Arabidopsis thaliana: one gene and its partners. The protein of the gene in region 3 interacts with the protein of the main gene of each other region in a pairwise test. Each region holds a gene or a part of one and is shown on either strand. Other genes may lie near its edges.

Evidence for each region.
Region 1: the proteins of AT5G57210 (region 3) and AT5G09800 interact in a two-hybrid assay, tested with the Arabidopsis thaliana proteins (one large-scale study listed by BioGRID).
Region 2: the proteins of AT5G57210 (region 3) and EXO70H1 interact in a two-hybrid assay, tested with the Arabidopsis thaliana proteins (one large-scale study listed by BioGRID).

The regions. Positions count from the first base shown.
Region 1 is NC_003076.8:3,042,362-3,046,166, forward strand, and holds AT5G09800 (ARM repeat superfamily protein), read right to left. Parts: upstream 2,186-3,805; 5' UTR 1,992-2,185; coding exon 762-1,991; 3' UTR 543-761; downstream 1-542. UniProt on the Arabidopsis thaliana protein: Functions as an E3 ubiquitin ligase.
Region 2 is NC_003074.8:20,439,949-20,444,636, forward strand, and holds EXO70H1 (exocyst subunit exo70 family protein H1), read right to left. Parts: upstream 2,703-4,688; 5' UTR 2,618-2,702; coding exon 707-2,617; 3' UTR 543-706; downstream 1-542. Other genes in the region: AT3G55140 (Pectin lyase-like superfamily protein), read left to right, coding at 41-277.
Region 3 is NC_003076.8:23,180,296-23,185,959, forward strand, and holds AT5G57210 (Ypt/Rab-GAP domain of gyp1p superfamily protein), read right to left. Parts: upstream 3,759-5,664; 5' UTR 3,411-3,758; coding exon 3,214-3,410; intron 3,084-3,213; coding exon 2,980-3,083; intron 2,899-2,979; exon of another isoform or gene 2,882-2,898; coding exon 2,705-2,881; intron 2,626-2,704; coding exon 1,013-2,625; intron 916-1,012; coding exon 793-915; 3' UTR 538-792; downstream 1-537. Other genes in the region: AT5G57200 (ENTH/ANTH/VHS superfamily protein), read left to right, coding at 1-306.

The sequences.
Region 1 (3,805 bases), about 20 Mb from region 3:
TCTAAGACGAAAAAAGGTTGGAAAGTTCTTTGGACTCTGATAAAAAGCTCTCCCAATCTAGAAACTTTGATCCTCAAGGTTTGTATGTATAATATGATCTCTTTTTCTCTTTCTCAATTATAAATTTAATCTCGGAGTTTCACTTACTGTGTGTTCTTTTCTTTTCTATCCGTTGTTTCAGGGTTTTCAGTGTGTAAGTACTTGTGGGTATAGCATTGATGGAAATACGTTGAAGGTGTTGGAGTTATACGGGTGTAGAGGGAATCTTAGAGAAGTCGAACAAGTGAGGCTGTTCTGTCGGAAAGTGAATTTCTTCAAGTAATGAAAGTGGAAATTGGTACTAAGGTTGATGTTGACAAGAAATTGCAACTCACCAAAGACCTCCTTCCTTATCCTAACGTTCCTCCAAATGCCAAATCCACTTCTTGTAATCTTTTAAATCCAATTTTGTTTTTGACTGCTCAATCAATCAAGATTCAGTTTGTTTTAGATACAAAGACAACATCTCCCTTGATAGAGCATATTGATAGCTTTACTTTTAATACGATTTTGCCAAGTCCAAACATAAAATTCTGGTTTAGAGTATCAACATTGCAATGATACTAGTACTAAAGAACATTGCAATTTATTCTCAAAGTTCTAATGGCATTGGCCGTGATAACAATTCCATTCACCTTCCAAAAAATCTCTTTCCTTACAACTTGAATTTTTTTTACCAACAAGTAATAATCCCTAAAGAAGTTAATACGGAGGGGGGATAATCAAAACGGCATAATATGTGTCGTTTTGGTTTCGTATACCGAAAGGCAAGATCTTGAGTTCACCTTGAACACCTTAAGAAGATCCGTTAGCATATGCCTAACGGTAAGCGAGCAATTACTCTGTAAAAGTAACAGTATCTTCGTAACGCCGTTAATTCTAATAACGGCATCTTGCGCCTTCTTTTCCTTGAAAAGATAACAGACGCTCCACAAAACCGTAACGGCGTGTTCAGTCGCCGCCGTCGACACTTTCATCAGCTTATTCACCACCGTCTCCACGCACACACCATCACAAATCTCCGATCGACCTTCTTTACAAGACGAAATAGCTTCGAGAAGCTTTAAGCATTTTTCCGTCACTGAAACGCTCGTAGTTGGATCTGTTAACAAACTCGTGAGTTTCGTGACTAGCTTTTCTCTGATTAATGCGAGTTTCACGCGTTTTGAAGACGCAATCGCGATTAATAAAGATAAATTCGCTTCGATTAAGCTTGAGTCGGAATCTGAGCTTATCAATTTAATAATCTCGGTGACCAATCCTTCTCCCTTGGCGATTATAAGCTTTGACTCTGCGTCGACGGCGATAAACTCAAGCACGGCGGAGCAATCGATCTTCAATTTTGGATTCCCGCGTTTAATCAATAGGAAGAAGGAAGTCAAGCAATCACCACCGTTCGTTAAGATCAGATTCGATAACCGTCTCCGATCGAAGATTTTCCGACGAATCATGCTCAGAATCTTCACCGCTTCTCCAACGAGTAGCAATTGAGAATCAGAGAAGTTTCTGGAATCGCTAATGAGATCCACAAGCATCGCTACGAAATCATCTTTCCCGGCGAGAAACTCTCTGTTCTCATCAGATTCTCTCGCGAACCGGAGAATCTTCGAACGAGCATCATTCTCGATCCGGAATCTCTCAATCGCAGCGTTAATTTCGTCTCGCGTCGGAGTATCGGATTCCGGAGACTCAGAATCGGCTCGACGGTTGATGGAGTCGGACCAGTGATCAATGAGACGGTGAAGAGTTAGGTTAGGTACGAATTCTTTGTTCTGAAGAATCTGCATCGTCGCGGGACAAGTATTGTTACCATCATCGAGCCAACGTTGGATGCTAACTCGGTCGTATGTAACGCCGGTGGAGAGACTCACCGGAGATTTCATCACATCAAGTGAAATTGGACATTTGAAGAAACAAGGGACGGTGGTGATGTAAAGATCATCGCTCCTCATGTTTTTGCTCTTTCTTCTTCGGCGAAAACGTTTCAAAGAGAGAATAAATAACAAAATCACTGAGAGAGAAAGAGACGTGACTCGTGTGGTTAGGTTTTAAGAAGATGATGAGTCATGAGAGAGAGTTCAAATATGCTGACGTCAAAATTCACTTTTTGAACAACCTCTTGATACTTTTCCATTTAAAAAAAAATATAATTACGTTATTTTATTTTATGAATCTTAATTTTTTTAAATTATGCTAAGGTTTTAAATAATATGGAGAGACAGTTTTTTGTTAAATTGAGATTATTATTTACAGTAGTTAATAAAATTTCCCTAATTTTGCATGTTTATTTTCAACTTTGTATAACATTGGGAGAAAAAACTTTTTTGACATATTTATTTATTATATGCCAAACCCATGAAATGAATACTTTTCCGTATTTCGTTCTCTCACTTTTGGTCAAATAGTTGAGTCTGGGTATCTTTCGGCGCGCGTAGACTAAGATTTGTATTCGAGTTCATCTCAACCGTTAACAGTACCACCAACGGTACAGATTTCGCCTAAGGATCCACTTACATTTTAAAATTGCACCGTTCGAGGAAACTCGGGAACCTTTTGATTTCTTTTAAAGAGCCTATAAACAATTTGTCCAGTTCTCGTAAATAAAATACTCGTATTGTCCCTTGAAGAATTGTTGTAGTCATTAATATTTGTAAAACAAATGTGATAAAAGGAAGTGAACTTATTGACCAGACAGATTCGACGGCCTTTTGCAACTTTTGTTGCTTCCTTTTCCTTTTCAAAGTCCACTTTAAATAAAGTCTTTATCGATTACCTTAGCGACAAAGTGTCAATGACATCAAGAGTAAACTACTACTCGGTTATGTGAATGTGACAGTCCAGGCTCGTGTATGGGCCTTGTATGTAACCCAAACCATCGTTCGTAGGCTTAGTCATTTATTATTATTTTGCGAATCAGAGGCCCATTAAATTTACTCCTCTTTTTCTATGTCAATACATAGAAAACAAATAAAGAAAGAAGGCGAGTTATCGTTATGCTATAACCTCATCGCACTTTTTATGTTTTTTTGGTATGAGCCTCATCGCATTTGTTATCTTTATGATCGTGTTTATATTATATATGTAAATGTAGTGCGATTGCAATGAAATAACGTTTCTTTTAGTGAAGAATTGCGCTTAAGTTTTTGGCGGAGGGTAATTGTATTGCAAAAGTCACTAAACTTTAGAGAGAAGCATTTAACCTTTCGGATTACAAAAAAATACTGTGACAATAAAAAAAAAAAATCAATGAGAATGATGCATTGGAGAAAACGTGTATGAACAGATGGTCGGTAAAAAAAAAAAAAAAAACGTGTATGAACAGATGGTCGGTAATTAGCACGAAAATCGCTTTGGTTGTAATTTGTAATAGTACTATTTTATACTCGTATATTTTCAACAGTGTTGTTACAGTAACGCTAAGGAACTAGCCTGGACAAGCTTTTACATCTCATTTACTGTTGTTGTTCTGACACAACTACTGTTGTTGCCTTTTATGTTCGGTTTCCTTCGTTCTTCTAAGTTCTGACATCTTGTTCGTACAAAGGGGTCTCATCGTCATTATTCTCTGCCTTCAATATATATGCCGCAAAAGAGGATGCAACTCAAAAGTGTCCACTAAAGCTACGGTCTTTAAGTTGATGATTACGTTAAGGAAGATGTCCAAGAAATAAAAAGTTGATGTCTTGATGATGACTAAAATTTAGAATTGGTTGATCCGGTCTTGCGGTGCAGTAGTTGTATTGCCTGGTCGTTAAGTCACGTTACG
Region 2 (4,688 bases), on a different chromosome or scaffold from region 3:
TTGAATCCACCACCATCATCTTGTGTGAGTTTGTTTGTAGGCTGCTGACAAGGAAGAAGCGAGAACTGGGTTAGTACGATCTGAAAATGACTTGTTCTTGAATGGAGCTCAACCTTCCTTGATGACAGGAGCCAGTGAAGAATGTGTATTCCATCCAAGTGAACACTACCCAACATGGACTGTGGAGCCACCATCAGAAACTCTCAAGCAAATCATGCAAATTTGTACCGGTTGGCAATCTTTGTCCCGTCCTTCTGATCATGGAGTTCCTAAGTAATAGTTGCGATTCAAATGTTTTCTTGCATATCATATTTCCTTCTTTTTCTAGTTATTGAAGGAGTGAATAATGCTTTTGTTCTTCAGCACATTATGTTTACAGTATGCTGTGTGTGATTTTTTATGCCTTTTTCTTCTTTGTGATTTGTAATTGGCTTCTTGAATGTATATCACTGAATCGAATTCTTTATCAGATTTATATCAGCTTCGGTTATTAGAGACTACTCGTTTTATTCTTAAAGCGTATCGCAAGTTTGTTTTTTCTTAGATAATGAAGAACTCGTCATAAATTATGTAAAGAAAATCTCATTTTTTTTTTTTTGTTCTCATTTTCTGTTGCACACACAATGCAAACACACGTATCTACATTTTTTTCACTTCACATCATGTAAAAAATGGAATATTTAGCCAAAACTATGGATCAAGTCTCTCAGCCTGAAACACACCCAAGTGATTTCCAGGATGAAGAGGAAGAAGATGAAGAAAAAGAAGAGGATGCATGAATTGGTGTACCGTGGAAAAGATCAGAGATGTAATTCTCCAAATTATCTGGCTTGAATCTCACCAAGATCTCAATGTTTCTCTCCTGGCCGAGCATTGGTAAGTACTTCCTGTAAAACTCTCTGTATTCTGGTACAAGTTTCTTTGCTATTGAAACCTTTAGTTCGTCCCTAAGTTTCGCATTTGGTACAACTCGTGATGATTGTTTCATATATGCTTCCTCAAATGCCGTGTGAAATCTTCTGAAATATATTTTAGCTTCCTCTGGTGATAGGTCTGTGGGTTCTTCTGGTAAAGACATGAAAACATTGGACCATGCTGCTATCTCATAATTCCCAGCATAAGCGCAGAGTTTATCTTCGTGCTTATTGAGCCAATCATCTCCAAGGAGATTCCTTAGGGGAGTTGAACCAACCGTTTCAATGATGATCTGAAGGTTGTTTGCAAGGAAAAGGTAAGACAAAGAAACATCCTTGTAATGCTCTGCTTTGGTGTCTAGTTTGCATAGCAAAACCAGGATTAGCCAAGCAAAATGGACAGAGAGTGCGTGATTGTGTTGTTCATCTTCCGAAATTGGAGCTCTGACATAGGATTCCAGCAGGCGAGTGTTTCTCGGGAGTGGATGGTCTGCTAGGATTTCCGACAAGACTCCGCTGTACTTAGAAAGGGAAGAGATGAAGTTCATTGTTGATCGTGTCAGTTTATGAATCCCTCCTCCAGGTGTTAGAGCTTTCGTCGTATCTTTCTGAATGATTGATTCAAAATCCGTGAGAGCACTGTGGATTGAGACCTTTAGTTTTTGCAGCGATGTGAGCGCCTGAGATTTCACACCAGCTACTGCATCAAAGTGGAATATCATCTCTATGTCTTGCCAGAGATCAGAGATTGCAGCCTGCAGATCCATTAGCGGGAAGATCCTCTCGTGCGATTTCTTCTCCTTGGCAACAAATTCAGGGAACTTGAAAAGGTTAGTGGCTGCTTCGTTTGCAATCTCGTAGAAGCATGACTCCCTTGTTGAATTGGAAGCAGAAAAGACATGATCACAAAGAAGTTTCTCTCCACGGAAGAGCGTGGCAATGCCAATCTTTGCAGCTTTTATCCAGTTCTTGATCATATGCTCGAGCGTGACCCAGTCCGTTCTGTGAAATCTGGAGCCTTTGTAGATTTCAATCCCGAGCAAGCTCAGCCCTTCATCTACAATAGATTTTCTGACCCGCTTATAAATCTTTACGCACTCCTTACCATATCCGCAACTTATCATACTCTCTGCTATCGCCTTAAGGTCAGACATCACCATAGCTGAAGCTTTCTCAACCTGAGTGATCGATTCGCCAGCTTTCCTCATCTCATTGTCACTTTCATCGTCGTCGTCAGATCCCATAACATCTTCAAATTCAGAATTGCTGGAGATTGAGGATTGACCGGAAACTGATTCAGGATCAAGCTTGTCTCTGTTTGAAGATAATATCTGGAAGAACTCTTTTTCGAGCCTTGCCATGGCGATCTGCATCAGGGTCTGAGCTAGAGCAAGCTTTGGAGATTGAGAGTCTTGAGAGACAAGAAAGTGCATCGCTCTGCGCAAATCACGGACACATCTGATGAACTCTTTAGCCTCCTTCCTGCTATGGTTGAACAGAGAGACAATCTTGGTGAAGGAAGGCGTGTTCGGGTCCCATTTTCTGATGACGGAGTCCGCTGTCTCCACGGTTTCCTCCATCATAGCCTGAGTAAAGTTCTGGTTTAGAGGAGAAGCCGGGAAAGAAGTGAATGAAGAAGGCGAAGAAGGATGATATTTAGGAGATGACGAAGAGAAGAAAGAAAATTTCGCCATTTTCGCCATTGAAGAAGAAGAAGCTCTCTATTCTCTTCTTTCTGAATTGAAAGCGAAGCCTTTTAAAATGGTGTTACTTGGCTTTTACTCTTTCTATTTTAATTAGAAAGATGGTTTTTAACAATTATATAGAGAGCGAGATTGGTCTTGACTTTGAAAATGAAATCGATGACGATGTGCTTACCTGTGATTATAGACCCAGACCACAAAGAACCATTGACTTCGATGTATAATATAAGCCTTATATACTTAAAAGATAACTAGAGTACAAATTTTATATACATATGGGCGACAAAGTTTTTGCTATCCACGTCTAGAACTAGAATTATATGACTATTTCATTCTGTCAACTTATAATTTTATATAACAGTTAAATTCATCAATTTCATTTCATTTGACTTTTTATTGCATCATTCGCATTATTGATCACTAATTATACTTCTTGTTCGAATTTCGTATTGGAAGTTTTTTGACCAAAGAAAAAAAAGAAGACTAATAGAGTTTCACTAGAAAAGTCCGAAATTTATATATTTAGCGTTCTCTTATATAAACGCGTTTCTACATTTCAATTCTTGTGTGTCTGTCAACGTCTGCATTTCAGTTAATAAGTTATAGTTATCACAGTAATTAACGTTTTGAATCAATACTATGATACAATAAGTTGTTAACGCTGTCCTTGCAAACTAACAGCTATACGTTTATTGTAATAGTTAAGAGAAAAGTGTTACAAAATATTTAAGTTGATTTTACAGCCTAATGTTATATTAGCACTGTTGATGTGTCATAATCTGATAGTATATGTTTGTGCTTATAGAGGATAGAAAAACAAATCACAAATTATGTATTATATAAAACTAATATTCTTTCGTCTGACCAAAAAGATGATCATAAAAGATACGTACTATACTTCATGATCTTGTCTAGAAGAAAATAAAACCTATATTCCAAGTTTTCCCATACATTAGATATCATATACACAGACACAAGACATTCGCATGTTATGTATGTATGGTTTTGCAAGAAAAAGTCAAATATACGCACTCATAAATCATGATATAAAGATATACGAACCGGAGGTATTGGCAATTTCCAGGCGTTACAGATTCTTAAAAGACCAAAATGGAGATTCGCTTACCAAAGTCAACTACATTTACATATACATTTCAACTAATTTGGCTTCAACGTCGTATATACGTGAGTTGTCTAAATCATTATAAGAGCATATAAGCTAGTCAACGTTTTGTTTCGACGACTCTCTTTCTTTAAACAATGGCTAGTGTTACTTCACGTATTCGGTTACATTGCTAACGAACCTTAAAGAATTTAGTTATTGTAGCTGTCTTTTTTCCTTAAAAGTGGAATCTTCTTCAATCAACAAAGCAATGACTATTGATCAATGCCATCATTTGATTACAACTCACAGTTTTTGTTTTGACAATTATCTTGTTATATACATATGAGAGAAAATGAACTATAGTAGTGTTTAGTTCGTTTCAGATTGAGATTGATTATGTTTATGTTATTTGTTTTTTTCCCAAACTTTACTAAGGAAGATTGTAAGCTTGGGGGAGCCCTAACGAATCAGAAATGAATGATATCGTAAGTGCGAAAACAATTTGAAGACTGGACTGTGAAGCGGTCAACTCTCAGGCGTAGATCATCGGAGTAAAGACAATGCCAATGCAAAAGTCAAAAGTTTATAAAGTATCTTTGATAACCCCAAAAATGATAAGAACATAATAATCCAAGTGGGTATTTTTGACTTATTATTATATAGATACATTAAACTCTAATGTAGCTGGTTCTACTTCTAGTCTTCCTTCTACAATGTGTATTATCGTGTGACACGAACCAACATTTTGGATGAATAATATAAACATTTCTTTTGCTCGGAATGCTTACATGTTTTAGAATATGAACCTCTCCCTCTCCGGTATAATGATATGTTTGAAGAATTAAATCTTTTAGTTTAAATATATCAGAGGAGATCAAAGATCTTTGACAGCAAAACAGAGGTATACATACAACAAGAGAATATTAAACTTTGATGTCTTACTTTCTACAATGTTTTCTTCTTCTC
Region 3 (5,664 bases):
ATACCCGGAGCACTAGCTTCATCGAACCCAAACCCGTTCGGGGTGCAACAAGATCCTTTCGCAATGTCAAACAACATGGCTCCACCAACCAATGTTCAAATGGCAATGCAACAACAACAAATGATGATGATGAATAACCAAAGTCCATATAATAACAACTATTCACCATATCATCATCATCAATTCTCACCAAATCCTTCAACTTCTTCATCTCCTAACCCTTTTGGTGACCCTTTCCTTGCTCTCCCAGCTCCTCCTTCATCTACTACACAGCAGCAATACAGTCCTAATCATATGCTTCTCTAGAATGGTAATCATAATGACTTGTTTTTTCTTCTTCTTCTACTTAATCTCGATTTGATTCAGGTTATTATTATTCTTTCATTCTTTTCTAGTATAAGACTCTTCTACACTTGTCAGGATTTTTTCTTCTCTTTTGTTTTCCCTTAATTTTAGTACTTATTTAAGCTTAATATTCCTTAATCCTTTGTATTTTTCCTCTATCAACGGTAAGAATTAACGGTCAGCGCAAAAAGTGGAGGGAAATTTATAATTTGTGTACTTTGTTTTATCTCTCGTCACTAAAAACCGTTAAAAACCCGTTAGGGCTAACAAAGTCCAAAGAAACTCAGGTCCCTTGTGCTAGAAGAAACTGCTAAAAGAAAAACAAAACTCTTCAAAATTTCTCATATATACATTACACTCTCTCAGTCTCTCTCACACACATACACAGAGAAAAATGAATTTTCATAATACACAATGAAATTACGTAAGCCGAGTCTGCAATGAACTTTACATTTCCGACAATAACATATTTCCAAGTCTACGAAGTTCTCTAAGAGCTTCTTCAACTGTTAGTTTTCCGTTTTCAGTCATATTCTCTGGTGAACTTAGCTCCAACACCGACTCTATCACCTGATACCGAAACATTCAAAAAAATGAGTCAAGTCATGCTTAATTTGGGTTCACAACAATCAAATCCATCATCAGATAACATTCGTGAACTTTTTACCTTAATATGTTCAAGCATGGACCGTCCTGTATTCTTTAATGAATCGCCAGGACCTGAAGTTGAATCTGAATCGGTTTTTCCGTCTTCAGAATCTACCTGTTTAGCTTCTTTAGTCTCAGAGGTCTCTTCGCCAGACAAGTTTCTACCTAGCCTCCATAGCCTCTGGAATTTACCCGAAAGAATCTTCCTCTCTCTGAAAATATTCATCCCTGATTTCGCCTCTGGCTCGTTCTCCGGGATAGAAAGAGGCAGATCCATGTGGTTCTCACTTTTGCCTTTATCAGAACTGTTATCCTCATACTCTGCACTGGGAGTATCAGATACTGTAGATGAGCGTTCGATATCGGTGTCTGGGTTTGGGAACTCGGGAGGCTCAATCTCTTTTTCCCCTAGTTGTCGGGATAAATCATCGAGCAAACTACGTCTAATATGAGGCTTGTTCCCGCTTCTCTTTGCTTCAGCGGGAGACGGATCGGATTCTGTCCTTGAAAGCCTTAGCTTCACTCTTTCCGACCAACTCTTCTTCCCTGCTTTTGGTCTCTGCAACGCTTTTTTCCTCCGTTCTTCTTCTTCTGCGCTGTTTAAAACTCTCCACTTCTCTTCCCAGTAGCTCTCAGGTTCTATTCCCACAGGAGAAGAACCAAGTGAGATCGAATCAACTGATAAGCTGTGACCTCTCATCGGTTTTCTCGGTCCTTTCGGAATCAAATCACGACGAGCATTGATTTCCAAAGCAAGACTCTGCAATGTCTTAGCCTTTTCGATAACTTTACTCAGATCAATGTCCTCCGGAAAATTGAGCAACTTCTTAAGAGAAGAAGTCGCGTTTTCAGTTGCTAGCAGCGATGATCTAAGATAAAGTATCATCGAAACCGCCATTCCCGCGACCAGAGCTCCCCGAGGAGAGCTAAGGATCCTGAATTCACACCCTAGATCAGCCTCAACGCCTCTCTCTACTTCAGAATTGTCAGCGGAAAATATCTCATCCCACACGATCAATAGATTACTCAGTGGAAATTCTCGCCCAAACAGAACCCGTAACCAACGAAGCGCAAAGTACTGCGGTTCAACACCGAGTTCAACGAGATGGCTGTGAAGAGAAGCATCAACTAAAGAAAGTAGATGATACAATGCCCCAGAAGCTTCAATTACAGGAGGCAGTCCCGTGATGGAATCGTTGGGAGCAGAATAGATGAAGAAATTGGCTACAGAAACCGAACCAAGGGAGGATCCACCGTACATAAGAGCGTCAAACATAGTGTAAGCGTCGTGTTCCATAAATTTATCAGAGAGGACGATTCCTAATTCGCCTTCTCCTCCATACGCATCACTCAACAACACAGCGGTCTGCGTCTCGGTATCGAGTTCATCGAAACTCTTTGGTTTTTTCTTCTTTGTGCTTCCAGAGGGTGGACCATCTTCTTCTTCATCTTCCATGGAATCATCCAAAACCTTTTTTATATCGAAATCATAAGCTCCAGAATCGCGTTCTTGAAACGCTAATTCGTCAAACAAATCAACAAACTGATCTTCATAGTTTGACCTCACTTCCGTAAGATATTGCACATCAACTTGAAGAACATAAAGCAAAGGAGCCAATAGTTCATGCATCCCTAAAACCAAAAAACACCATTAAAAATCACAAACCATATTCGCAATGTAATACACTCGAAAAATCAAGTATCTACTAACCTTGTCTATAACCAATCTCAGGATGCTTCAAACACCACAAAAGAAGTATCCTTCTAAGCATCCCTTGACATCCAGAGGATTGAAAGTAACTTCCATGTTCTGGATACAACCGAGAAAGATCTTGATCAAGCGTTTTCTCGAGCTCTGCATTACGAAAGAATCTCCCCCAAGTACTATCTACACAATCCAGAAAGCTTTACATTATCATTACATTGGAGAGAAATTTGCAAATTGAATGTATCTGAGAAATGAGATAGTAAAGTTTTGATTTTTACCAGGATTTTGTGATAAAGGATTATCAATAGTAAGATCTGGAGAATTTGTTCCTTTCTTAGGCAAATGTGGATCAATTAAGAGTCTTCTTCTCAAAGCAGCATACCTAATAAACAACAACATCTAAAAATCAAAACTTTACAAATTCTTTTGTTTCTGAGTCTGAATCTGGAGCTACCAAATCGAGAAATGCAAACCCTAAAAGCAAAAACTTCAATGTAGGGGAAAGTCAAAACCTTCTTCTGGAATCAGCTGTTACTCTGCGAAGCTCATCAATGGTGGAGGAAGGAGAAGACGGTAAGATTCCGAGGTTGATTCGCCATCGGACGCCACGAAGCTTCTCGAACCGATGATCTTGAGGCGGCGAGGCATCATTAGAAGTGCAAGGAGGGTCTTGTGTTGTTGATATCTGGGTTTCTTCATGAATCGCCATGTTTTACACAATTCATCAAATCTTCGATTTCGTGCCAAATCGATTCTTGTTTCGAAAAAACAATTTGGGTTTACTTTTTGTTTATGAGAAAACATAAAATTATGCTAAAAACTTTTGTCACTTTTTCTTTCGACAAAAATCGAATCAAAAATTGTATTCATTTTTTTTTTCATGAGGCTGAGAATCTGTGATTGGCTTGGAGACAAGAATGGTTCATGACTTCATGTTTTCCAAAACGACGTAGTTTCATTCTCAAGCTTCATCTTTTTTCATCAAAAAATAAGATAGAACAGTGAAAATTATTACTGTTATTTTTTCTGTGCCACTATTGTTATTGTTGAATTTTGTTTTTCTTCAATAGATTCTTCTAAAATGAAGAGAATCCGAGGATCATTTTTGAACAAGAAGACAAAAATCCAAAAGAATGAATCACTCAAAGTAAAGTATCAAACTCGACGTGAGAGAAATGTGTAAGTCTATTTTTTCTCCTCTCATTATGCCTCTTTTTTAAAAGAGGGTCAGTCACTCTTCATACTTTACATAAACATATATATATGAGGCATGATTTTTGTTACTATAACGCGTTACAAATTATTGACAACATCCACTTGTATGTTATTCTTCTATAAATATTATAATTTTATGCATCAAAAACTCATCAAATTGCCAAATGTTTGATAAAACATACTTTATCAACTCGGTAAAAATATTATAGTCCACAGACTAGCTCACCGTTCAATGGACAAAAATTAGTAGAATGTAAATCCTGTTTTTAATGGATCTAATATCTTAAACGCTTTCTATAACGCGACGGATAGGTTTCGATATGCAGATTTTAGTATCTTTTAACATGTCTTATAAAGAAATAAACATTTGAAACTGGCATTTTGACCAAGCAAAGAGTAGAAAAGATCTTGATGCAAAGTCTTCAATCTTGATCAATATGTCAGCATGATTTTTTTTTTTTGGGTCTAATGTTAAATATGTCAGCATGATTATTGGCACTAGTATGACAAGAATTAGAAGGAAAAAATACTGCAAAATATAAGTAAGGAAAAAGAGAAAAAAAAGTTTGATCAGTAATTTTCAATAACTAGGGATATTTTCATAAAATATGGATAGATGCATATATGAGGAACTTTTACAGGCAATAGACAGAAATTCTTTTGATATCTGTAGTGAGTAGTGACCATATCAAATTATCAATAAATGGGATATTCCCATAAAATACGGATAGATACAGAAATGATACGAGTCAATAATATGTCTACCGTTTTCCTGACCATCACACATTTTCTTAGATTTGTTAGTCAAACAGTCTAATCTCACAAAATTACTACCAACCTCGTCAGAAATATTTTATTCTTATTTATAGGAATTTTAGGTACAAAATAAATGATAATAAATGTAAAAGGGCACTTTATAATTTGGTTCAGAGTTAAAAAATTCATATGCAAATTTTGTATCGTGTGTAAAATTTAGCTTAGAAAATAATATGACTGATTTGACCGTGCCGCCAAACAATAAGAGAGAGTGATTTTCTCAGAAATAATTGAATCAAGCAAAGACTTTACCAGTAAGGTCCATTGAAATGAATTGGGGCATGCTTACGAAACCTAACTTATAATAGAAAGAAATAAACGCTCCAATTTGGACCAGAAAAGCCGACTTAAGATGGCGGGTCAACTCTACTACCTCTCCTCGTTCCATTTATCTATCTTTAGATATTTTGACATTTTGTATTCGTCTTGCTCTTGGCTTTTTATTTTATCGATATGTATTCTACAATTATCTGAATATTCAACGTTTGATTATTCGCTAAAACTTAAATAATTAATTTTATATTCGATTTATTCCATAAGAAATTGATTACATAATGTGACTGTTACTGTTAATGTTTCTCTCTTAATATCATCAAAAGTATGTAATTGATGAGAAATGAAAACAAAATGGTAGAAAATGAGAAGCTCGAAGAAACAGAAATGTGGATGAAAAATTGTATTGCTTTTACAGTTTACTCTTTGCTAAAGTAGTATAGCTGAAACATTTATTTTGTATTACTTTATTTGGCTAAAAATAAAATAAATTTGGACATAAATTATTTCAATTATTTTAGATTACGCTAACAAAACAATCTAGTCACACTAACTCACGATCAAATCCAAAAGCATTAGCACCATTTCTTATTTTCTTAAAAAATATATATTTTATCTAATCATATTTACCTATTTTGGTTTTGGACGTCAAAAGTATT